4 linked regions of the Neodiprion lecontei genome follow. The main gene of each other region encodes a partner of the protein of the gene in region 2 in a complex. Links are inferred from orthologs where the notes say so. Each region holds a gene or a part of one and is shown on either strand. Other genes may lie near its edges.

The links.
Region 1: the proteins of origin recognition complex subunit 3 (region 2) and origin recognition complex subunit 5 are in contact, whole or in part, in a crystal structure (PDB 4XGC), measured with the Drosophila melanogaster proteins. The link is inferred for Neodiprion lecontei from reciprocal best matches to the Drosophila melanogaster genes Orc3 and Orc5. Residues at the interface, in NP_476904.1 of Drosophila melanogaster: Ile105, Gln107, Leu140, Lys141, Val144, Cys183, Thr184, Met185, Lys186, Gln187, Glu213, Cys214, Asp222, Leu225, Ile226, His230, Ala243, Thr244, His250, Tyr255, Ser258, Ser259, Arg262, Leu263, Ala270, Pro272, His302, Ile303, Leu305, Tyr306; in NP_477132.1 of Drosophila melanogaster: Ile72, Glu73, Tyr75, Ile79, Glu82, Asp86, Asp94, Arg130, Tyr291, Met292, Arg293, Ile294, Glu295, Leu319, Glu320, Leu321, Pro322, Tyr323, Tyr324, Ala325, Asp383, Leu386, Ala387, Tyr390, Val397, Leu399, Thr400, Cys401, Asn402, Leu403.
Region 3: the proteins of origin recognition complex subunit 3 (region 2) and origin recognition complex subunit 2 are in contact, whole or in part, in a cryo-EM structure (PDB 7JK6), measured with the Drosophila melanogaster proteins. The link is inferred for Neodiprion lecontei from reciprocal best matches to the Drosophila melanogaster genes Orc3 and Orc2. Residues at the interface, in NP_476904.1 of Drosophila melanogaster: Gly10, Cys11, Phe12, Val13, Tyr14, Lys15, Asn16, Ala18, Thr19, Arg20, Ser38, Leu39, Leu40, Tyr50, Tyr53, Arg54, Asn106, Pro108, Arg135, Asp136, Ala142, Arg177, Arg180, Asp308, His312, Gln316, Lys319, Tyr320, Met323, Phe327; in NP_731873.1 of Drosophila melanogaster: Ala331, Ile332, Lys342, Met344, Cys345, Ile346, Leu347, Asn348, Glu349, Phe351, Tyr356, Leu358, His369, Lys375, Thr377, Val378, Leu379, Val380, Val381, Asn382, Phe385, Asp392, Ser396, Asp400, Ile401, Leu402, Asp403, Asn410, His412, Glu413.
Region 4: the proteins of origin recognition complex subunit 3 (region 2) and origin recognition complex subunit 4 are in contact, whole or in part, in a crystal structure (PDB 4XGC), measured with the Drosophila melanogaster proteins. The link is inferred for Neodiprion lecontei from reciprocal best matches to the Drosophila melanogaster genes Orc3 and Orc4. Residues at the interface, in NP_476904.1 of Drosophila melanogaster: Ala217, His250, Gly251, Leu253, Pro254, Tyr255, His256; in NP_477320.1 of Drosophila melanogaster: Lys395, Glu398, His399, Ile402, Lys419, Lys422.

What each region holds. Positions count from the first base shown.
Region 1 is NC_060262.1:27,787,907-27,792,337, reverse strand, and holds origin recognition complex subunit 5, read right to left. Parts: upstream 2,633-4,431; 5' UTR 2,631-2,632; coding exon of another isoform or gene 2,526-2,630; intron 2,085-2,525; 5' UTR 1,923-2,084; coding exon 609-1,922; 3' UTR 528-608; downstream 1-527. Other genes in the region: protein SDA1 homolog, read right to left, coding at 1-117, 188-286, 2,526-2,630, 2,715-2,801. UniProt on the Drosophila melanogaster protein: Component of the origin recognition complex (ORC) that binds origins of replication. DNA-binding is ATP-dependent, however specific DNA sequences that define origins of replication have not been identified so far.
Region 2 is NC_060262.1:25,317,330-25,325,078, reverse strand, and holds the start of origin recognition complex subunit 3, read right to left. Parts: upstream 6,028-7,749; 5' UTR 5,826-6,027; coding exon 5,802-5,825; intron 4,640-5,801; coding exon 4,508-4,639; intron 4,384-4,507; coding exon 4,272-4,383; exon of another isoform or gene 4,268-4,271; intron 4,164-4,267; coding exon 4,009-4,163; intron 3,759-4,008; coding exon 3,604-3,758; intron 3,044-3,603; coding exon 2,935-3,043; intron 2,779-2,934; coding exon 2,614-2,778; intron 2,123-2,613; coding exon 1,931-2,122; intron 1,841-1,930; coding exon 1,724-1,840; intron 879-1,723; coding exon 591-878; intron 1-590.
Region 3 is NC_060263.1:6,987,592-6,994,788, reverse strand, and holds the start of origin recognition complex subunit 2, read right to left. Parts: upstream 5,209-7,197; 5' UTR 5,132-5,208; coding exon 5,050-5,131; intron 5,002-5,049; exon of another isoform or gene 4,864-5,001; intron 4,686-4,863; coding exon 4,554-4,685; exon of another isoform or gene 4,429-4,553; intron 4,349-4,428; coding exon 4,148-4,348; intron 4,032-4,147; coding exon 3,769-4,031; intron 3,643-3,768; coding exon 3,428-3,642; intron 3,287-3,427; coding exon 3,154-3,286; intron 3,080-3,153; coding exon 2,839-3,079; intron 2,598-2,838; coding exon 2,364-2,597; intron 2,217-2,363; coding exon 2,014-2,216; 3' UTR 2,006-2,013; intron 1-2,005. UniProt on the Drosophila melanogaster protein: Component of the origin recognition complex (ORC) that binds origins of replication. DNA-binding is ATP-dependent, however specific DNA sequences that define origins of replication have not been identified so far.
Region 4 is NC_060263.1:16,666,672-16,671,791, forward strand, and holds origin recognition complex subunit 4, read left to right. Parts: upstream 1-1,966; 5' UTR 1,967-2,129; intron 2,130-2,345; 5' UTR 2,346-2,382; coding exon 2,383-2,598; intron 2,599-2,706; coding exon 2,707-3,033; intron 3,034-3,099; coding exon 3,100-3,597; intron 3,598-3,669; coding exon 3,670-3,822; intron 3,823-3,881; coding exon 3,882-4,046; 3' UTR 4,047-4,583; downstream 4,584-5,120. Other genes in the region: putative ammonium transporter 3, read right to left, coding at 4,718-4,902, 4,973-5,060.

The sequences.
Region 1 (4,431 bases), about 2.5 Mb from region 2:
GAGGAATTGTCTTAAAGCTTTATCCTGACATCTCAGTAGCTGAAAAAACAAGCTCAAGAGTGCAGTTGGCTCCAGAAGTCCTTTATTTCGAAGTAATATTAGTGCCCTGCAGAACGTCTGTAAAATGAAATGCGTTAATTTGCAATCTTCCACACCTGTACACCAAACATCAATACTCTTTGGTCACCATTCTCATTCCAGTGTCCAGAACAGTGTTTTGTGTTTGCAGAATATCCACAAGCTCTTGAGGAAAAGTTGTCAACTCTTCTGAATAGCAATGAGCTACCTACAATGATAGAAACAAGGCAAACATAATACGACGAATTCTGAATGAATGAGTTTTGAGTAATGAACTGAAGTTACATACTTTGGATACTCTAGCTTGAACGGTCAGATCATTAACTAAGTGTTCCAAGGATTTTGTCTTTATCTTATTTCACATTTATTTATAGCAAAAAAAAAATACAAAAGATACTACTACAGTAATACAACTAAAGAAATAATTGAATGGAAATAAATATTCTTAACAGCAATATTATGTTCCCACTAACCATAGAAAATAGTTAAAAGAAACATGAAAACTGGCAAGTCCACATTAAATACATACATTAAATGAAATCATACAAATAATTCCTAACATTGAACCCAACTGTCTTAGAAATGATAACGATGAAATCATAGCTGACGCAACACTTATATTTGGGACCATCTAAATTATTATCACCTACTATGCTCAATAGTCTTAACTGACACATGGTGGGTATTTGTGCCAATAGATTGGCAGTCAATCCTACTTTTTCGTCAAGAATCGCGTAGAATATCGCGAGCATTCTGTCCAAAGTAAATGCCTTTGGCCCTAACTGTGTGTTAAGTTTGGCAGGTTTTTTAGTCACAGTGTTTCGCCTTTTCTTTTTACTACTACGTTTGACAAATAAGCGTTTGTCATCTTTGGCTGGATTATAAGAAGCCAAGTAAGCAGCTATGAGCATGTACTTTGCATAGAACGGCAGTTCAAAGCTCAAAGCCAATTTCGTTGTAGATTCAATCTCTTGACACAATTTAGTACGTTGCTCAGAATCATCAGTAGACACTCTGAGATAAACAACTTCTAAATTTGATTTTAAAATTCCAGATATATTCCGCCACAAAGAGCGTACATCATTCTTATCAATTTTACCCGATTCAACAGGTTCAACATATTTATCAAAATTTATTTTAGCCATGTACCGTAGCTCATTACAATCTCTACAACATCTAAGAAACACAGATAAAAATAAATTTAAGTAATTCACGTAAAATCCATCCTCGTAATCCTTAGGCTTGTATAAAAATAATACTTTCAACATGTCCTCCCGTGTGTACTGTGGAAAGTGAATTTTAATAGGATTCAATAAACCATTTTTTGAGTAATACTTTTCCCAAACAATGTCACTGACAAAGATTGTGCAAAGATCCAAACCAGTCAGTTCTCGCAGCCTCACAAGTGCAGGCAATAAATTCACATCCATATCGCGCAGCCGATCACATTTGTCAAACACAATAACTATACGACGCTTATCGTTTTGTACTGCAATTTGTAGGTAAGTAATAAAGTCCATCATGTTATCGCATTTCTGGTAAACTGTGAAATTATTTTTCGAATTCATTTCATGCATAGACAAGTCATTTAAAATGTGTTCATAGATGAGTTTACTGCTGTAACATTCAACGCAGTTGATGATGCAAACATTATATTTAAGGTAAGCCAACAGAGATTCAATAACCAGAGACTTGCCACTTGCTGTATGGCCATATACAAAAATGCTTTGCACCATTTCCTCATCTGAAAAACCAATTAGAGAAAACAAGCATTTTATAAGATTGTCTCTGCATATTATTTTCTGTCCGAGAGATTTCAGGCATTTTTCCATAGTTTTCTTCATTGTTAATATTAATAGTCCAAGCACACTTATTAAACAATTGAAAGAGTACAAATTATACTCTCCAACTATCTATTAAAGCTTTCGGCAACAGTCTTTATGCTTTATCAACTCAAAATACAACACTGCTGATCCCAATGCAACTTGACAAAACGCTGCTCAGACCTGAAAGAAAATAACAATAGATTCTGTTTATTATCTTTCGTGGTGTTGAGAATAATTATGCCAATTGAAAAAATGATATCCTTCTGATTGAAATTAAACGTGTTCTGTCAAGTTACATCGAAAAATCAGACCGCTGCTTAAGAGAAATAAAGTGCAGACTCTGGCTGTTTACAATGTAGCCAATTCGAAACAACATCGTTCTGTTGTACCTAACACCACCTATCGCAAATGAAAATTGCACTAGTCTAGGGCAATAATGTCTTTTTGTGTAATAAGAAGTGGTTCTGCATAATTGCTGTTAATAAAGCTTTGCTTATGAGAATAGTTACTATTTATTATAAATTTATAAGCATTAAAGTGTAAAGCTAAGTTCTAGTTTAAGTAGTAAAAATGCGAACAGGACGGACTTACAGTAGAGATTGCTATAAACATCAGCCTTACCTGTGCAAGAAAAATCACCAATTCATCGAGACTTTTGTTGAATGTATCAGGCGTCAGTCGGAAGACTTCCAAAGTTGATTTGTAATGACGGTGTTGTTGCAAGAACTAGATTATCAAGCATTCATTGTTATCTCAGACCATTATGCATAATATATTTATTTCAATGCAAAATATTATATACCAGCTTACCTCGTCTTTGTATGACTCCGGATCACGCTTGATTAAATTTTGCAGTTGAGGAAGATTGTCCGGTAGTTGATTGTTGTGTCGTACCATTTTTTATTGCGGAAAAATTAACGAAATACTGAAAATTATTATTTGGAGGTTATAATCATATTTTTAACCAAACAGAATATTCAGAGTTGAGTCGATGATTCACCCAAATGTGTACACTGTTTCCACATATTCATGGAAAGTCGTTCATTTCTGAGTACTTACAAGTTTATTATTTATTTGCAACCATCCAAACGATATCTAGACGTTTTGAAATAGCACGTGCACGTTTGATGCGTCGTTGTGCTAACCAGCGCTGAACATAACCTACAAATTGTCTGTGACGCTGATTGCAAAACCGAACGACGTTCCCGCCATAGGCATCCAAAGATGAAAGATGACGGGGTCCCGCATCAAACCATCATCAAACACACAGACGTTAACTGAAGAACATAAAGACGGATACCCCTGTGTAAATTTTTGTGACCAATTTTCGGCGGGCAAGTGGCCGCAGGTGGGCCTGGGAGCGTAGGAGGGTCTCTCTATCGACTCTACCTAACGGGCTCGCACCGACATTCGTAGCAGCCAAAGTAGTGTCCGTATGGAAGCTTGAGATTGAGTCGGTACAGAGTGAGTACCTGATGTCCACTTAGAAATGTCGATCAACTCAATTATCCCCGCGAAAAGACGCGTAACCGCGTCCACCGCCAACCACCCCCAACTACTTCCTAACACCTCCAACCACCCCCTACCAACTCCTACCACCTCCTTCCACCTTCGACCACCTTCCCCAGGGGTCCGTTCTTGGGCCTCTGCTATTCTCATTATTCATCAATGATATCGGCGCTAAGCTTGCTCATTCGAAGCGAATTATTTTTGCTGATGATACTAAAATTTATCTAACCTGCCACCCATCTGATTTAGGAGAAGGTTAAGCCATGATCGCACACGATGTTGGCGTCATAGCCGATTATGCGGCTGAAAACTGCCTCAAGCACAATCTTAATAAGTCCAAGGTTTTTGTTACGGGGAGTGGCACGCATCTGAATCGTATCGATCTGGAGGATCTGCCCCCTATCTCGGTTAATGGTACAGTGCTTCCTTATGTTCACGAGGTTCGAGGTTATGCAAATTTCCAAAAAAGTTAATTTCTCCCTGTATCGTGGCTCAAACATCATCGAAATGCGCTATCGCGCAAACTTAGGGCTAAACTTATTACTGCACTAATCTTTCCCTTATTCGATTATTGCTACTTGGTACATAATGATCTGACTGGTGAGCTTAACCCTTATCTCTAGTGATTGCTTAATAATACAATTAGATTTATTTTTACCCTGCGGCGTGATGAGCGTGTCACACAGTTTCGAAAGCAAGTGGGTTGGCTTATAGTCAGAGTTAGGCGTCTTTACTTCTTAGGTATGTTTCTACTTATGTTAGGTATGTTAGGTATATTGGAAAAAATTCTGGTATTTGCTTCACAGTATACAGAATAAACACTGTCTTTGTGCATGTGGCGCAAACCGAATCTGCCCGTAAGATTTTGTCTATATAATGCTACAAATCACGTTTACACATGCACGTAAGTATAACGTATTGTGATTTTAAGACAATAAATTTCGTCTAAAAATATCACAGAACAATCAGCTAAGTGCTAACTGATTTGACACACCACACACAGCAATTTTAGCTCTAA
Region 2 (7,749 bases):
ATTAAAATGACTGGTCGCTTTGTTAAGCGAATTAATAAACTAACCTGACAGCAGATTTACGGGTACAACCCGCAGGGATTTGCTTAATTTGTGGACCAAATTCATTAACGCACAATTAATGAGCTTGACGTTCAATTTTAAAGCCGGAATAATAATCGTTGTTTCATTACACACAATGATGAGTCTGATAACAAATCAATGAACATATACACGAGTATATACTCGGCGTGCCAGGAAACGAATGACATTTTAATCGCACACTAGTATACTATATAATAATACACTCGTTATAAAACCGTGTGCCGAAACTGAGAATTCCAATTATCCCTACGGCATAATCTCGTCAACAGTATTCACCCGTATTATAACCGAGTAATTAATGTCAATGAATACAATAATTACACACCCATTAGTCGCGTTAGTATACCATTTTTTATTCGGATATTACAATAACGATTGGGATATGAGGGTTGTTTTTGTTTCCGCTGCATTGGCGGTCCATTCGTGAAGCTTTGAGCTTTGCAAGAATTTTCCGTGTGTAAAATAATACCCAACAGGTGAGAAGTGAAATACTGCGAATCGATTCGTACCTCTTTTAGCTGGGCCCGATTTAATTTTTCACCCGGGTCGACGACCTCCGTGTTTTCTTTAGTTACTTCGGGGCTCGCATTCCTGATGACTTCCCTGTATTTTTCCAGATCAAGTTTAACATCCGCCAACAATTTTTCCTCGGTAGAGATTTCGATGATATTTTTCATCGCATCAAGTTTCGTCAGAAGTTCTTCTTTCGATATGAAACCCAGGTATTGCAGGCACTCCTTGTACTCTTGGGATTCGGTTATGGCGCAGCTAACAGCCTTCGCGTATACTTCTCGTAGCTGATTTCGAAACGGGGCAAAAAATTATTAAGCGATTCATCTATGAGATCCTGGCAAGTAAAAACTCGGCCACGATGACTTTCTGGAGGTTGGCTGGCAGAAATCGGTACCATTAATTAATTTTTGCGCGATATAGTCGTACATTGAGTACCTCTTCAATTATTATATTCGTAGAGCTCTTTTAAGATAGCAAAACATACCGGAAATATAAATAAAAGCTCAGATATATCAGAGCCTGGGTTGAAATCGTTTCAAAATTGGTGAAAATCTAGTAAACTCGTTCGATTTCACTTTGCAATAGTTAATTTTATTCAAAAGGCGCATCGTTTTTTCATTGGCATCGTTATATATTTTTTTATTTTGTAATATTGTATCAATATTGACTACAATAAAAAAAAAAACTGATAACATCGAGTTGAATGTTGAAAGAAAAAAGAAAATCTCTTCCAGTGAATTCATAGAAAACAGTCTTCTGAATAAAATGAGGCATTCCAAAGTGAAACTTTCAAATTTTCAACAGTTTTAAAACATTTAGAAATGAATAATCAATTTTTTGTTCAAAATTTCAGTGTTGTCTAACCTGTGTATTTTCAAAGATTTCTTCACAGTTTAATATTAATAACAATTTCACAAATCTTGAATGTACGACTATCTTGTGGTAAGAATTAGAAAATCATTGCCGATTTTTAACCGCTCTGTCTCCTCAAAAGTGAGTGAAAAAAGGTGTACATAGTTACTAAAATAAAAATAAAAAATCGAAACAACAATAAATACAGATCGATCTCTTCTGCGGACTTACGCCGATCCATCGTCAATCAAAATTGCAAGTCGAGCGTAAAACTTACTTGTTTACCCAAAGGCGCGTTAGGTAGATCCGAGGTGAGGTGATGCAAACATTTTAGGGTAATTTGAAAGGTGCGAGTGAAGGTGTGAACCTGATTTATTAAGGTAGACAGTAATTCCTGTATGGGAAAGATAGAGGGGGGTAAGGCGTAATTAATTCATTCAATTTCATGGTTTTATAGGGGTAAGGAAATTGGTGCGTTTTATACCTTGAACTCTTCGTCGTTTAGGGAGTCGCGTTTTGTCACCGGCAATTTTCGAACGTATTCAGCAATCGATTTTAATTTTTTTATCTCATCCAGATCTTCGCTTCTCAACGCGGATATTCTCGATCCGATATTATCGCCGTTGCAGCACAACGAGTTGATATTCTTTCCATAAAAATGTTGAAACATACACATCTGAAAAGTAAAAAATGCTCTGCGAAATTACTGCGATCAATGCCGCCAGATTTTCGTTCTTTGTGACATATAACGTGTGTATCTGTGTTATAGGTTCTACATATATATTACGCATAATGCCGAAATATTTCATGTTTCTCGGATATTAATTCAATAACAATGCAGGCCTCTGTTATATTATGCGGCGTATACATTATATAACTACGTGTTCACAACGTGTAATTATAAGCACGTTCGAATAACATGATTAATGCTCGTAGCCGGTTATAATACGAGTGCGGTGGTGAATTATTCAACGAAGCCTGCGTAATACATTTAAAATTGTTTTACAACTGACAAAAAAAGAAGGGAAAATGGAAAAAATACACAAAGACGGTTAAAACGAGGAAAAAGCTTCACGTGCCGAATAAAATTACATACTTGTATCTAAAAAACAAACATCACGCGCATCACCGTCGATATATCTCGATTAAATACAGCAATTTTCGTACCTTGTAGCCTTGCAGGAAACCGTTGACGGAAAAATCATAAAATAAAAATATGTCGGTGAGTAACTGAAAAGCGCGCCCGGTTAATTTAAACGGGGTTTCCGTGGAAAGGACCGTGCCGTCCAAAACACCTGAGAGACTTTTCACTTGCGACGGAGCTTGGAAAACCTGTTGTAATGGATATATTATTACTGGTTTTATTATTATTCAGTGAGAATTTGTCGTTAAAATACAATTTCGGGAAATATTAATATTAATACTGTGCAGATTAAATTCTGCGGATTTATTTAACGAGGTGTAACCGTATAATAAAATTAGTCTTGCCTGAACTCGCAATTTCGATGTGACGTGATGCGGTAACGATCTGTGCGCAGCGTGGACCGCTGTCGCTACTCCGAAAATTAAAACAAATTTGATTGTTTTTGAGTAAACGCTATAAATAAATTGAAAAAAACGGGTATTCGTAGGTGAAAAAAAGTATTAGTCACTGGCAGGTGTAGATAACGACAAAATATGTGGATAATCGGATTGGTCAGACTAATCAGACAGATTAGCAAGTATTTGAATGCATAAATCATTTGCAATTCAATGAAAACATCAAGTAAATCGATAGTGTAACCGTAATGTTCGTGCGACGCGGAAAGAAGGAAATTAGGAAACTAAATTCGTAAAATTCGATGCTATCAATTAATGCCATATATTTTGTTTTTTTTCTTTGTCGGAAAGACTTAAACTTGCCTATCAAATATTTAATAATTACGGGTTCTGAATGTTTCAGACCTCGATGTTTGTTTCTCTAATTGTTGAGAATCAGTTACAGTAGACGATTTTTTTTTTTTTTTTAAATATGAACACTCAAGACATATAAATCGTCCAATACATAATAACGAATTTTTTTTTATACTGCTTTCAGAATTGAAAATATTACCTTACGGATAAGTGAATCGCAATAAAATACGTATAATGTTCAAAATTCTTCCTACGCATATTTACCTGAGTATTAGAATGAAGTTTTGCAAAATTTCAGCTGAGAAACTTTCGAAATCTGGAATGATTATGAGCAGAGGTGTGTTTGAACCATATTCCTGATACCAGGCGTTCAGCATACTTGAGGTGCAATGGTTTTTCTGTATTTCTGTGCGGTTATTCTGCGAAACAATGAATACCTCATGAGAAATAACTGAAAAGTGCTCATTGAAGGGCTTGTAGGCCATTATAAACAATAATTGAAAGAACAAGTGAAAAGCGATCTTGACGAAATTCAATCAATAATTTATACTTTCATGCTTCCCTCGAAGGAAAAAAAAAAATAAAATAAATAGGATGGACACTTGAAAGTAAACTTTGGCCAAAGAACCGAAGCACAAATATAAAAGTACACCGCGCCAAATCAATTACCCTGGAATTGTTAATTAGCTGAAAGACTGTTTCTTCCATCATATTTTTCAAGCTGTAGGAGTCTCTCTGCTGCATAATCGCTATGTGTGAGGTAATATCTTGGAATTTTCTGGCTAGCATTTGAAAAAGCGCCCCGTGATCGGGTAAATTGACACCTAAAAAAAAAAAAAAATAACCGTGTATATTATTATACCTGGTGAGAGTCTTTTTTTACCTATAATTATTATACCGTTAAAGTAGAACAAATTTGTCATCGTACTTGCCGGTTAGTAAAATTGCTGTGGGTATTTCACCGGACAGATCATCGTAGTTTATCGATGAGACGTATGACTTCAAATCTTCCGAGATTCTTGCGAAAATGTCGGAATTTATTTTCTACAATAAGTAATCGATTCTTATTTTGTCTTATTCTTCAATTATGCAACGTGAAATTGCGGTCAATTGATGAGCCTCAAGTTAGCGCATTTCACCTGCGCTGACTTTTTACCCTTTTTCCTACCTGAGTAGACTTTTCGATGGTTGACCAAACTTCCTTGTAGGCCTTGTACCACGATTCGTTGAACAGCGGTGCTTTTCCAGGCCTTTTCTTTCCGCGGCCAATTCTATAGCTTCCTTGGAAGGCAAAAACCCCCTAAAACACGTATAGTGAAATTTGATTTATGCTGCATTATTGGTCGTAAAAATACATGCATTCGTTTGAAACAATCTCGGTAGAGAATTAGATTGAAACAAAAATCCGATCGAACTCGACGAGGGCGTAAAAACTAACTGTAGAAAAATTAGCAATCTCCAGGCCAGAAAACTCGATGTGAATAGAGCCGAAACGCTCTACATATATCTCTTCAAAATTATATGAGTAAATTTTTACAGAACCATTTACGTTTCCATTAAATTTATCATCGAGGAATTGGTACGGATTCAATATCAAGGTTTTGCTGAAACCGCGCTTGGCAGCTAAAAAAATTAATTACGACAATCAAGTTTGCGTTGGTGGATTAATTTTCTAGAAAAAGAACCTACCGTAGAATCAGCAAAACAGGAGCCGAGTGAAATAATGTATAAAATAATTAATCGTCAGCTTTCAAGAACAAAAAGTTTTAACAAACGTTAAATTGGTGATTTATTGAAATATTGACTAATAGGTATTTCGTTTCGCTATTTCTCCCGCCAAGCAGCTTCAAAAATAAAATTGCGGAAAACGGTCGGCATAGAAATGTCGCTACTTAAAATACGAGATAACATATCGATATAACATAACGATATTCAGAAACTTGTATCGTTACGAGTATCTGGGGATCGATCCTGTAATTTCACTTTTCACATTTCCCACCATCCAATTTTTTTGATTAGTTTGCAAAGTATTGTCAACGAATGAGAGTGCTTCGATGGTGGGAAATGTCAAAAGTGACATTACAGGATCGATTCCCAGATATTTAAATTAATTTTAACAATTCCCAAGCCATGAAAAAACGCGAAACGACAGAAAATGATAACAAAATAAAAATCAGCCAATTATCACTTCCTTTGTACAATCCCTGCCAATAAAATAAAGCCTAGTTTCAATTTCTTAGCCAATTAGGCGATAAAAAGCACAGAAATCACGACAAACAAGGAATAGGGATCATCCTCCAATCAGAAATCGCGTTGAGAATGCAGAAATGAAAATTGCGATCCCTGATTGGATACTTCTAATTTCCAATTCTACTCCGTACAGTCCTAACGAACATTCGTAAATGCCAAATGCATTGTGGTTAGGTTACGCTGAGAGCGCAACAGGTAGCAAGATAACGTACCTTCGAGACAGAGACGTTGTCCATTTTCGCCAGGAGATTGATCAGTGCATCTGATTTTCTCGTCTTTGCACAGTTGCGAACCGGTGCGACAAAAATAATCGAATCAACTGTCGAATCCGGTTTATATATGTATACACATGAACCGTACAATAACGGTTGGTCATAGAGCTGCGCCGACGCTAACGGAGCTGCGCAACGGCTGCGCACGAATGTTCGCGTCTCGTTGCTTTGTCGGCCTGCCACTCAGTCCCAAGTCACGCAGCGCTAACTGCCATTTGGAATCCAGAAGTTGGACGCTGACGGGGATTTTGGATGGCGGAAGAGGTTTCAAGGACGACCGCCAGGCGGCGCATCGAAGAATGGAGCGCGGCATTCGACGACTGGGACGTAGAAAGATATGGAGACGAAGATATTTGGTCTCCCGCAAGCGCCGCCGGCGGTAGTATTGGCAATGCGTTTCGAAAGTGAGATTGCTCGTGTCGTTTATTTTGGGATTAGTTATCCGGGAAAACATTGACAGATTCAATGGGATGCAATTTTTGCTTGCATCTAAATTGATCCAACTATTTATGATTCAGAGATCTGTTCAGATCCGGATTCGATGATGAATTTACAGATCTTTTTAAATGTACAAAATTGTTGGCGGTTAGATTAGATTAGATAATGAAGAAATTCAATTGGATTTAACGGTATCTATTCATCTAAATTTAGATTATAAATCTTCACTCCGTTGACCCGAATAAGTCTCAGTTCATGTAATTTTAAACAACGCAATAACGAATACGAATATGTTTGTTAAAAATTTGTATTACAGAGAAATGACCTTTTTTATTGTATATCGTATGTATTTCATCGTACATTTTTGAAAAATTATGTACGTACCAGTCCTGAGTTTATAGAGTAATCGGTTAATTGTAAAACCTTTTACATCTATATATGGAAAGATATCGTGGTAGATAATATTTGCAATCGGCAACAAGTTCGTTACACTTACTTTTAACATGGTAAAAATGCCTGACCGACCAACGAATCGAGTATTTCATAAAGCATGAATGCTCGAGAAGGAATGAAAATTTCTAACCGTACATCTATGCGTTGAAATTTTGTTCACGTGCAAAATATGCAAAATTTTCAATTCGCATACGTTGCATTATTCCACTTCGCAGTCTTCTTTTTCGGTTGCGCATTTTTTAATCAATTCCCTGGTCTCTCCTCTCACAATCTGACGAAACCCGTACGGTATTTATAATCTGATATCGTGTGCGCGTTACGTGACGTTCATATAACGTGGCCTCGGGGCATGCAGCAATCTCAGTTATGCCTGCATTAGGCAATTGAACAAGCCATCATCCGTTGCAGTTTTAGACAGGCTGCCGAAATACTGAACACTCGCAATATGCAGAGAACTGCGCAGCAAATTCCAGTAGCGAATATAGATCGCGTGAAAATTCAGTGTACGATGAAATTTATCGCAAGCTCGTTTCTCCGTACTGCGTGACGATTTGTCGTTTTAAGTAGCATTGTCCAAGTTCTAGTTGAAAGCAATATATTGCTTCCGTTCCCTGAGGCAAAATCCCGCGTCGCCTCGTTTTTATATTTCTTTGTGACAGTTCAATTTAGTCCCGTACAAGTCCCGCCTCGCATCTCGCAAAAAAAAAAAAAAAGAAAAGAGAAGTATGAGAAGAAACTTCTCTCCACATTATTTTTATAATTCGCTTCGACGAGCCTCCGTAGCATTTTAAACAAGCAATGTAAGACTCTCTCTCAGGGGTGAATTCCGCCCTCTCGCTATACTCTTTTTCCGCTCTTTAATTTACGTGCAAATTTAATGTTTACAAAAACTTTTTCTTTGAATATTTCCTTCCTCGCCGAAAGATAGGTAAATCCGTCTAACAGATAATGCCGGGATTTGATGGTCAAATAGTGTTCTGATTTGTATCAGGAGTTA
Region 3 (7,197 bases), on a different chromosome or scaffold from region 2:
AGCATCACACATACCTAATCGGTCTCACATACTTATCCGACAGTGAAGATACGATTGGATAGGTTAGTTTGTTCTTTAATCCTCGATATGCAGCCGTTGACGGACTCGAATTTCGTCGGTGGTCAAAGCAGAGGGAAAACAGGAGGGGTTAGGTCAGGTTAGGTTGAAGTTACGCGTGCCGAGAAGCTGCGTCTGAGCCGAAATAAGTGTCGAGAACGCAGAAAATGTAACGAAGTATAAACGGTGATCCTGAGTGAAGTTTGCCGAGTTAACTGAGGCCACGGATTAATATTTTCCCGTGATAAGTCAAGGACGTTCAACCCTGTTCAGTCGCTGCGCAACAAAGAGTCCCTCTTTGACTGACTGACTAACATAAGTGCGATACGTACGTGCTAGCAGCCTTGAAAATCTTTAGCAATCGTTTCTGTCTATCTGTATGTGTGATTTGTCTACCATCTCTCATCCTTCTTTTTTTTTTCTTTGCATTACGGACGAACGAACGTATGTACGAATAGATATGCGTAAAGTACTCACCTTTCGTAATTACGGTGATTCGGAGGGTGAGGGACGAGGAATAACTTCGCGGTTTTAGTATCACTCGGAGTTAAACGCAATTCACCTCAAACCAATCGAGGCATTTGACATTTCAGACTGTATGTGTTTATGGTAATTAATAAATATACTCTAAGGAGCGAGAACCGTCTTATCACACACGCACAATTTACTCAGAAACACCGAATGCGACTATGGATTCTACCGAGCGTTACCAACACCGAGAAAATACGGACGTTTACCACGATTCTTACACGCTCTGAGGACTTTGAAACCGGCGATTACACTCCCGCTTTTGTTGCAAACGTTTTTAATCCTCCTCGCGACCGAATTAACTCGGATTCTATTCTCACGGACGAAGGATTTTCAAAATTAACTCGTTTTCAAACCTATGCTTTGGCTGCACTGTTAAAAGGTGTTTGTATTTTGTTTTTACCGCGCACACTTCAAATTCACTGCACACCAGATGGCGGTACTTACTGGACAACATATCCCGTCATCTTGTGCCGAAATAGCCAAATGTGATCATACGTATACGCAGATAGTACCGAAATCGCGATTTTCTTGAAACCGAAATTTGTCCTGATATACTGAAATGCCGTTGAATAGCATCAAAATAAAGCATTGATTGAACACAGCATTATTCATAGACAATACGTAAATTGAAGTAGTTACGTTTATTTTTGTTGTAGATTATTTTGACTTTGGATTTAAGAACCAATTCAGGCGAAGATAAAATTAACGGACTGGTGGTAACAGTGTTTGGATTTAGAACGTCAATTCATGGGTCTACAATTCGGTCACTTAGAAATACGATTTGCCGTTTTCAATCCTAATTCCCTGCAGTTGCCGTAATAATGACGTATGGTTAGACGCGTTTTCCTATCTCGCTCAAAATTGTTAGCTAAGTAATAAGACAAACACGTTTTTCTCCGATTTGCTTTTCATTTGTGAGACACCTGATGGTTGAATTTCAAATAAGTGAAAGCCTGCGGACGAATTTCGGGGCGAAAGACGAAATGTTCAACATCATAACATCACATAGCATTTCTCACAACAATAAACTAAAATTTTTGCTCGTTACACGTAAAACCGAAAGAAGAGAGTTGCTTTAAAGTTACTGAAAATCACAAATACAAATATCAAATTATTTCATCAAGAATTTTTTCGCGAAATCACGCCGGATTAAGAAGGAAAAAAATAAACGACTAATATACATAATTTAACGCTTACGGAACTACGTAATACGAGTGAAACCTATGTACATACATTAATGTGTGTTATTGAGAACGAATGGCTATAAAGAATAAAATTGATTTTAAAACTGAGTAATTCCAATGAAGAAAATCGACTATACGAATTTTTGTTTACTGAGCTTATGAATGATGCGTATATGTGAATTATCGTTACTAAGGCACTATGCACAAGTTAGAAAAATTGGAAAGTAAATCACCAAATTCGTTACGCAGTTTCTTGCTGATCAAGGAATTGTTTTAGTAACGTATTATCCAGCGGGATACTGAGATACTCTGCACCATCATAATTCCGCTTGGAACGCACTAGTTTGTGATCTATGAACTCAGTTAATTGAGCCCTGAGAGCCGTGTCTGAACTAACAAGGAAAGCCTCACGTGCGTTCGAGTAGAGATCCTTCAATAGCATACCTTAATAGAGAAAAATAAAGATTTATTATTAGCTAGTTAAAAGATGAATATATACGTCATCGTCTCAACGATTATAATTTCGTTCGAATATTGCAGAATAGATGCAGATACAAATCACGGGATAAGTAATTAAACACAAAGACTGACCAGGATAGTTGTCGCTAGTTGCGTGTTCTAGTTGATGTTTAATGAGAAGCACATAAATAGCACGTGCGTTCGAAGTCAGGGAGAGAAAAACATTGAGTAGAGAGGAGAGGGCGAGCGCTCCACTCTTCTGTACCATAATCGAGCTCTCAAAAGACGTCTCTGCATCATATGGCAACATTGTTGTTACATCCCACCAACAGAAATTATACCGTGAATGCTTTACGTTGTCCCATACTGAAAAATCATGGAATGTTCATAATTGTACTCGACATCTATCAAGTTGATATTTCAGTTAAATTAGTGAAAGGCATTCAAGTAAGACATATGCAGAAAAACGTCATACCAAAGAGGGGAAATTTACTGTTACCTTTGTGTACTATTCAATTTCGATTCGCAAATTCGAATAGTTGCTTACTGATGATTTTATAATATGCCAAATAAAATGAATTCAAAGTTTATGAGTAATGAAACTTACTGAGAGGTGTATTAATGTGATCGACGGAAGCAATGAGTGAAAGATTTGGAATGCTAGCTAAAATCGAGAGAGTATCTTGGGCCTTATTGGAGCGGAGCATTACTCCGTCAATATTATGCACTAACAAGTAAAGCCGATCCTCGGGATTCTCTCTGAGGGTACTTTCGATCAAGCTTAGACATTCGTTTGGATTCGTCGGACTCTGCAGCCCCAGAAGATCGGTTGTTATACCATCCAGTATCTTTGGAAATAAATTAATTGGTCAATAAGGAAAAATACACGAGTCTGGTACACCAACGGTGATAACTGATTCACCTCTTTCAACGTAAGACTGGGGAAAAAACCGTTCACAACAAGTGTAGGATGATCAGACAGAATTTCTTTATGAAAATCATTCATCAAAATCCTTTTTGATCCCAAACCGTGAAGTAACAGACTGTAGCCTTCTCTGAAAGGAAAAAAAAACTTCAATTTCGATTATCTCATAAAAGCATGTGATAATCATAAGCGATCTACTAGAAATATTGTTCTTGTTTAGTTAAAATATTTCGTAAAACATTGAAGAATAGTGCATAATTATTTTATTTACTCCAATATGCAGTGCCACATTGGAAACAAAGCTCTGTAGTCCCTTGAGAGTGACCTGATGGCTTCTTTATGTTCTTTAGAAACAAAGCTCTGCTTGGATAATAATTTTTGCAATTTTTCTTCATCCATTCGTGGGTTCACCAGCCTTCCTAAGGTTCGATCGGAAGTTAAAACCTTTTCCGATTGCATTTCGAAGTAATCATCCGTTTCCAGGTGCTGTAACAATTTTATTCATGTGTACTATAAAAATATAAATCATATATCAAAAAGTCTGCCACTTACAAAGGACGAAATAACAACTTAGCCAGCTTCCTTTCATTAAAGACAGAATATGAAACTCACGTAATCGGTGTAAGTGACACGTGTATTCCGTTTTGGTTTAGAAGTTGATAAACGTGAAGGAGCAACCTTTGCAGGTGTTTTTCTGATTTGCTTTTTGTTATCTTCTACATCACTCTCCGAACCTTCAGAACTTTTTACTTCTTCTCCCTCTTCACTATCATCAGATTCCTCATCAACTGATGGCACATATTCGTTCTCTTCAGAAACACTTTCACTCTCACTGGATGATTCGCCAGATATATTACGAGCAAGAGAGACCAATTCTAAACATTGATACAAGCATTTAATATTCAATGTTTCTCTTCGAAATGAGAGTACCCCCACATTAACTTGAAAAGACGATGGCAACAAGGGTAATAACGAGTTATATGATACTCACGTTTCTTGAATTTGTTACGAACACTGTGCGGGGTTTGTGCAGTATCTGTAACATTTTTTTGCTTAGCAGCATGCTTCGGTGTCTGAGGAGTGGCTGCTGATCGGCTGAGGGCAGCTTTTTGAGCCATTGCTCCACTTTTAGAAGGTGTTGGAAAATGATACATGCTGGCACCACTGACATCTTGTTCTTCGGTATATAATTCTGGGAAACATAAAACAAGAAATATATATGCAAAAATGTTCTATTATCGGTTGATGAAAAGTACTGTCCATACTACTTACAGGTTGTCATATTATACAAATATTACGACTGTGCTCGTGAACTTTTTGCGAAAATAATCCGAATAATTCTCAAATTCACCAGAGTTACTGTTCCTGCATTAATGAGTTACGTCAAAGTTGATTACCTGTTGGCTTCTGTACATCTTCGTCAATAATTTTCAATTCATCTTCCAACTCTCTAGCCAGCTCATCCGGAGTTTGTTCCCCATCACTACTGCTAGAACTAATCTTGCGGCTTCTCCTTTTCCGTTGCACTCCTGTAATACAAACGTGACTATAATGTATCTGCACACATAAAATTTGGGAATCCCTAGTGAAAAGCATCTATCTATAATAAATGAAAAGTATTCTTCCAGGGCTGTAATTTCAGCAATGCAGAATTCTATATGTCACCTAAACTCAATACATCTTTTCTCAACACGTGTCTAATCTTACAGTTTAAAACAGCGTCGACGAAATAATTTTCGCTTATAATCATGCAGCAATATTGTGAAAATGAACCGATCTAAGTCGGTAGTTCAACGTGTTGAAAACAATAACAAACGGCAGAACGTTTGACAATTGATTTAAATCGTTGGCTTGTTGCTGAGATATATTATTGACTGTTTCCCCGTATTAAACCTTTTGTAGAATCCTCTGTTGCTTGCTTCGAAGATGTTTTTAATCGGGTAGAACGTCGCAAATTTATGCTGCGTTCGGCCATCGGGAAATATTTGTTTGCAGAAGAATCAAATTTCTGCTCCAGACGGAGTCGGTAAATGAATAATGCTTATGAGGGTAGCACTGATACACCACGTGATATAACATAAGAGCGGGAATAACGTGTACATGCCTATATTTCTTGTGAGCCAATTACATCGTTGGGATGGCTAGAAGCCACCAATCATAGTGCAGGTCTGTTTCTAGTTGCAGGGCCTGCAAATAAAAGAGGCCGATCGTCGCCATTTTGTAAACTCTACGCGCCATATTCAAATCGCGAGGCGAGACGTTTTTTTGTTTGCATCGAGTGATTGGTAAATTTTCGAATTTCTCTGACGACGCTACTTGAATTTACTTCAAAAATCCCGTTGCCAATACATGTGTATGTAATTTTTTCGCAAACTGTATAAATATTAAGTAAAAGAAATAATCATGTATTTTTAAACATTGAATTAAAGGTTGGAAGTTTTTAAGAATATATTTCTCATTTACTGTAATTTTTAATTCAACGGTGTTCTAAGAAATAATTTTAAAAATAATTATATCATGTTCATTTTCAAATAAATACATCAATTGATTGTTCAAAAATAAAGTTTTTATTGTGATTCATTCCATCTTTCACATGAGGTACAAAGTTATGTACCATCATAACGTTATCGTAATGCAAACTCCCAGAAATCTATACACATGTTCTTTTTAAACAGGGTCTATAAATGAAATTGAATGACATAGGTGTTGTAAATTAATAAACGTGATTGTTAATTTACAAGTATTATTTTATTACATACATGATGTTGTAGGTATTAAAATAATAAAGAGAGAGAGAAAGAGAGACCACTTACATAAATTCAAATTCAAAAGACAATTATATACTCCCGACACTTTTCAACTGAGATCGATACCTGTGTATGATTTTAATAAATAATTAAACGCGAAAGGACTCATCGCTTGCAATCACCAATAATGATTGTCCAAAAATTTTGTAAAGTATAAAAAATGGAACAATCAATCAACTGAAGATCCTTTACATGCCAGTTTGATAACTTCAAACACAGTTCATTTTTGCAAAATTTGTTACAGTGATGTAGATATTAGTGCAGTCATTTTGACTTCCACGACTTTTAACATTGTATTATGTACTTTTATAGAATGTGCTAAACACTATTCTGCTTATTTGTTTTTGGTTGTTAAATGTTAAAATGCAGACGTGTACATTTCAAGTTGTAAAATTCCAACACAACCATATATATATATATCTTTGTCATTTAACAAAGTTCTTAACATTTGTATTGAGTAAATACCGAATACAAGAATTTACTAATCCCATTTGCCCTAGCTAAATATTCAAATAATCATGCAATTCTAGTACAGTAATTCGGAAAGTATGCTGCAATCTAATATGTATATCTACATTGATTCCATAGGTACAAGAATTTGCAACGAATAGATGTACATCAATTTTGTTCACCCAACTGAACAATCCTTGTAAAATGAATATTATATTACTTAAAAAAGATAGATCGTGACGTAAAATATGCATAAAAGTAAACTTAAAATAAAAATGACTACGAATAAAATTTATAAATTGAATATATTTCATAAGTATATTGAACACTGTATTTCAAATATATTTTACTTTAATGAATTACTGTATCTCTTATTCCGCAGAAAATATCCGTACCGAAATACTCAGCGAATTCAAAATCACAAAGGACAAAAAAAGAAGATACCTCATGAACATTCACAGTTTGTTAGTAGAAATATTAAGCGTCGGAGAATCTGAAACCTAACTGAACACTGTTCCATTGTATCCATCAATCCTTCATACTGTTCCATTGTGACGTATCAGATACTCAATGTCCATTGACCATTGAACTTTTCATTCAAAAACTCATGCTATGAAATATATGCGCATCAAACATAGAACTTATCATTTGTTAGTTTTTAACAACTCGTTTTCTCAGGAATTTCATTGATTAAGACAAAACGATTTGTTTGTATATTACTTCTAAAGTATACATAACCTTCGATCTTTCGATAGCACAAGCTTAACAATTCATTTTCTTGATA
Region 4 (5,120 bases), on a different chromosome or scaffold from region 2:
AATATATGCAGATAGATCGTAACAATTTGGGGGAGTGATAGTGAAAGGTTCAAGCTTGGTATCCCCACTCGCCATCCGCTCGATTAGCACAAAGGAATGTATTCGAAGTATGTCGAAAATATTATTTTTCGCTCTGGGGAGTAAAACTATTAGCGTGAAAGTTTACGAATCGTCATCAACACTCCCAGCCTATCTAATTGTGGTGAACATCCCCAGCATATCTGATTGCGGTGTCGCCATCCGGTCGATTAGCACAAAAGAATGTATTCGAAGTACGTGGAAAATATTATTTTTCGCCTTGGGGGCAAACTGTTAGCGTGAAAGTTTACGGGTAGCGGCGGAAAATCAAAATGGTATGTCGAATGTAAAATTTTCGCCCTGGGGGTAAACTATTAGCCTGAAAGTTTACTGATCGTCATCAACATTCCCTGTCTATCTAATTGCGATGTTACCATCCGGTCGATTAACACAAAAGAATGTATTCGAAGTACGTGGAAAATATTATTTTTCGCCCTGGGGACAAACTATTAGCGTGAAAGTTTACGGGTGATGGTGAAAAAATCAAAATGGCCGCCATCAAAATGGGCGCTCGATAGCGAACGTCATAGCGAAAATCACATTATCAAACTGTCCGACGATAAAAAATCAAAATGGCTGCTCATCCGGCTAAGCAAAAATCAAAATGGCTGCTCATCCGGCTAGGAAAAAATCAAAATGGCTGTTATCAAAATGGCCGCTCGTCCGAATCAAAATACATATACAAACAAATATCGTCATAAAAAAACAAGGCCAAACTAAAGGCATAAAATACTTTACACACTATTTCCGTGAAAACTGCAAGCCCTGGTTCCACAACAAAGACCTCTCAAGAGAATGTATAGTCACGATAAACCGTTGCAGAGCGAACCACTACCACCTACGCGCCTTCCTTTTTCGCATAAATGTTACAGACAGCCCAAATTGCGACTGCGGTGAATTTGAACAAAATATTAAACACGTACTGTGGCAATGCGTATTATTTGACCAACAAAGAATAGAGTTTTTCAGCAATCTATCTAACTCTAACTTACGCCCCCCACTGAATATTGAATTAATAATTTGTAAACCTAACTTAAGCGCCTGCATCTATATTCAATGCTTTCTGAATACATGTAACCTCAAAGTATAAATTGTCAAAACTCAATACAAATAAGTATAATAACTACATCAACCATTATAAGACTATTGTAAACTAAACTTTTGTATGCAGATATAAACCCTTACAAGGGTTTCAAATGCTTAAATAAAAAAAAAACAAAAAAAACGTGTCAAATGAACGCGGGGATGTAGATTTTTACTCGTAATAGGGTACGCCAGAGAATTTTTACAGCATGGCATCTAAATTTACAAGTATCGAGACAGCGAAATTCACCGGTTCGATTTTCATTGTTACAACGCGTGGCTCGCGGTGCTGTCGAATAAAAAGTGGTCGTTAGATTATGCATACTCGAATCATCATCAACCCGGAATATCATTCTTGCATACAAATTGACAATTTACCGTATAGGAAAAGTGTCTCATCAGAATTGGATGCAGACTATTTGCGGAAGATTTCGGGGCTAGGTGCCGAGCTCACGAGCTGAAAGATGGAATGCCTAGAGGAGATACATGGAATGAACACACTTTGTGCATCTGAAAGGGGACCCTCGGACATGGTTTCAATGGATTGCAGGTATGTTGTAGAGGTATTTGCCCCAAGTTTTGTCACTAGGATAACGGGAATTTATGCACTGTGGCTTGGTTTCCGAGAAAATCGATGGCTTACTAAATATCAATAACAAACATTGATTTAGAAAGTTTTTTTTCAAATTGCGAATCCGTCAGGGCGCAGCGTCTGATGCGCTGTTTGAATAAAACAAGCAATGCGATCAACGTTACCGACGGACGTTACTCAATTTTCCCGAAATGGTTACGGATCTTTCAAGGGTCGTGATCACAGCTCGGGCAGTAAACTGGGCGAAAGTGTTTGTGTTTGGATCTGTGAATTGTAAACATTTAACCGTGTCAGCCTGCCGAGTGCGGTGAAGTTCTCGTTTTTTAAATCCAATAAGTTGAAATAAAATTCTCCCTGAACTGTGAATTTTTTCACCGTAAGTATACAAAATTCTGTCTTATTTTAGTCGACACTATTTCTTGGTAATCGGATTGCGATTTTTATTCATCATTTTTTCACCAACGATTATCGCACCGCACGCAACCGTCATAACCTAAACGTTTATTTAATCGTCCGTACGGATAAATGAATGTTATAAAACTAATCGCACGAATAACGGGCTAAAAATGTTGTAATCATTATCTTTCGATAGTGAAAGAAATCAAACTCAGAAACAAACAAGAATAATTATGAGCAAAAAGCAGAACATGGCTATAGATTTCCACGACAATATGATACTACTGACCAGAAAGTATCTGAAGCGAAAAATCATGTGTCCAGAAACAAAGTTCAGGCATCACGTCAAGGAGCGAGTACATATTCTGGATTTGTTGAAAAGGACCGTTGAAAACGGCGAGAGCAATTCGGCCTTACTGATCGGTCCCAGAGGATGTGGAAAAACCACGGTAAGATGTGGCCAAAAACATGTATGCAAATATCGGAGACTAAAAGACACAAGAGTAACGCAAAGTAGCCTGTAAATCTTTACAAAACGTATCTTTCATTGAATTTAGCTCATCAACAGCGTACTGAAAGAGCTGTCGTCGTTAAAATCATTCAAAGATGAAGCACTTGTCGTGAACTTGCATGGTTTAGTTCATACGGATGATCGTCTTGCGCTCAAAGACACCACACGTCAGATGCAGCTGGAAAACGCAGTCGGTGACAAAGTATTTGGCACGTTCGCAGAGAACTTGAGCTTCCTTCTTGAATGTCTCAAGTCTGGGGACAAGACTCAGTCCAAGCCGGTAATTTTTATTCTGGACGAGTTCGACCTGTTTTGCGCCCACCGAAACCAGACTCTGCTCTACAATTTGTTCGACGTTGCGCAATCTGCACAGGTGAGCATCACGCAAGAAATAAAACAATAGTTATATATATCCCTCGTTGTCCTCAATTTTGTCCAGGCCCCGATATGCGTGCTTGGAATCACCTGCAGGCTTGATGTTATCGAACTTTTGGAGAAGCGTGTCAAGTCCAGGTTCTCACATAGACAGATATTCCTTTTTCCGGGCGACACATCTGGCTCAGATCAACCCACCTCAGCTTTTGACGATCGTCTCAAGTTGTTCCAGCACCTCCTCAGTCTGCCTGATGACGAAAATGTAAACGAAACCGATCAGCAGTACGAGGATTGTAAAATAAATCCGCAGTTCGGCGCCAGATGGAACGAGTACATAAAAAGTCTGACCGAAAACATGACTATGGTCAATTTTTTGAAGAGAATGTACCAGCTGGATGTCAGCGAGAGGAGTTTCAGAAACTTTTTGGCCCTCGTTATATCGTCGCTGTCCGAAAAACATCCGAAATTAGAAGTGAATGATTTCGTTGAGGCTAATAAGTTCTTCCATCAGGACGACAAGGTTCTCACCCTTCAAGGGTTGTCTGTTCTAGAATTGTGCCTGGTGAGAATTTCACCTTCGAACGAAGGGACGCGAGTCTGTTGAATTTCCGATTTTATCCACCTCTTTTTGCAGATTATCGCCATGAAACATCAGACTGAAATATACGACGACGAGCCGCTGAATTTCGAAATGGTTTTAAACAGATACGTCAAGTTCGCTAATCAGAATTCGTCTATTCAAACCGTCCAGCGACCTGTGATCATGAAGGCTTTCGAGCACATCAAGGTGAGCATCAATGTGCCATTTATACTCCCATTATAGATAACGGATGATTGAAATTACAGAATTTGGAGCTGATTCAGCCTGTTGGAGGGCCGAACACACGAGTTGAGAAGGAGCATCAGCTCTATAAGTTTTCACTCGGTTGGCAGCAGATAGCCGATGCCGTTAAAAACTATCCCGAGCTTCCGACTGAAGTTTCCCAATGGGCGGTCAGCAGTTTACAATAGAAAATCCGTGCATTTAACTAACTTTAATGAAATGTGTTAAACTTGAACAGTTCTTTGACAATAGGATTGTTGTTTCGTTTTATTTTACATTTTTTTCCCTTCGTATTGAACGACGTTCCCGTTACCAGTATTCATAGGGTTTTACGTGCAACCCTTATTATTGTATTCGATAGATAAATATGAAACATGCGTAGAGTTTCTAGTTCTATACTTATATTTAATTATGTTGGTTATACCTTGAAATTGTAGACTAATTGTGTAGCCAATATTTTATTATTATTAGTACTACTGTAAAGTCTAGGCGAAAAAATGAATTACGCGATTAACAGATCTCGTCTCTTGATTATCTCATTGTATTATTTATCTCTTACGTACATGTATTTTTCAAGTTCAAAGCTTTAATTTATTTATTTACACTATTTATTTGCATTTCGGAAAACACGAGAAAACAAAATGAAAAAGGAAACTAGAGAAGGCAGAACAAAGAGTAAGAGAAAAAAAAAAAATAAAAAAACGTGTGGATTGTATATTTACTCAGTAATAAGACGTGTTTGTATTTCTATTTATACAAAAGTTTCTATAATATAAATTTATACATTGAAAAACGATGTAAAGTGAAAATCTTATCTTGTTTTTACGTGTTTACTTGTTTCATCCATCACACCTCGTTTTTACTCAATCCACGACAACTTTGGAGTCTCTTTGCCCTTCAATGATTTTTTTAAAAGATCCTTCACCCCGGATTGTATTCGGTTGTTTTTCAAACCAGTCACTTTTCCCGGACTGCGCGCCATTAATTTCTTCAGCTTTTGGGCTCTCTGGCTGCGGTTGTATCTCTCCAAGTACGATTCGTGCCCTGTGGAATCGAGTTGATAAATTTTTATCAATTCCCCCTCTTAAATGCAACACGATAAAAAATATCAAACCTGGGTTGAATCCTATTTTCAAAACATTCTCCAGTCGAATTTGATCCGGGAATGGACGAAGCGCGGAAACCGCTCTGCTCACTCCCACCTGAAAATTAAATTGAAACGTATGCGTTAAAATTCACACGCGCGAAATCACTACCTAATC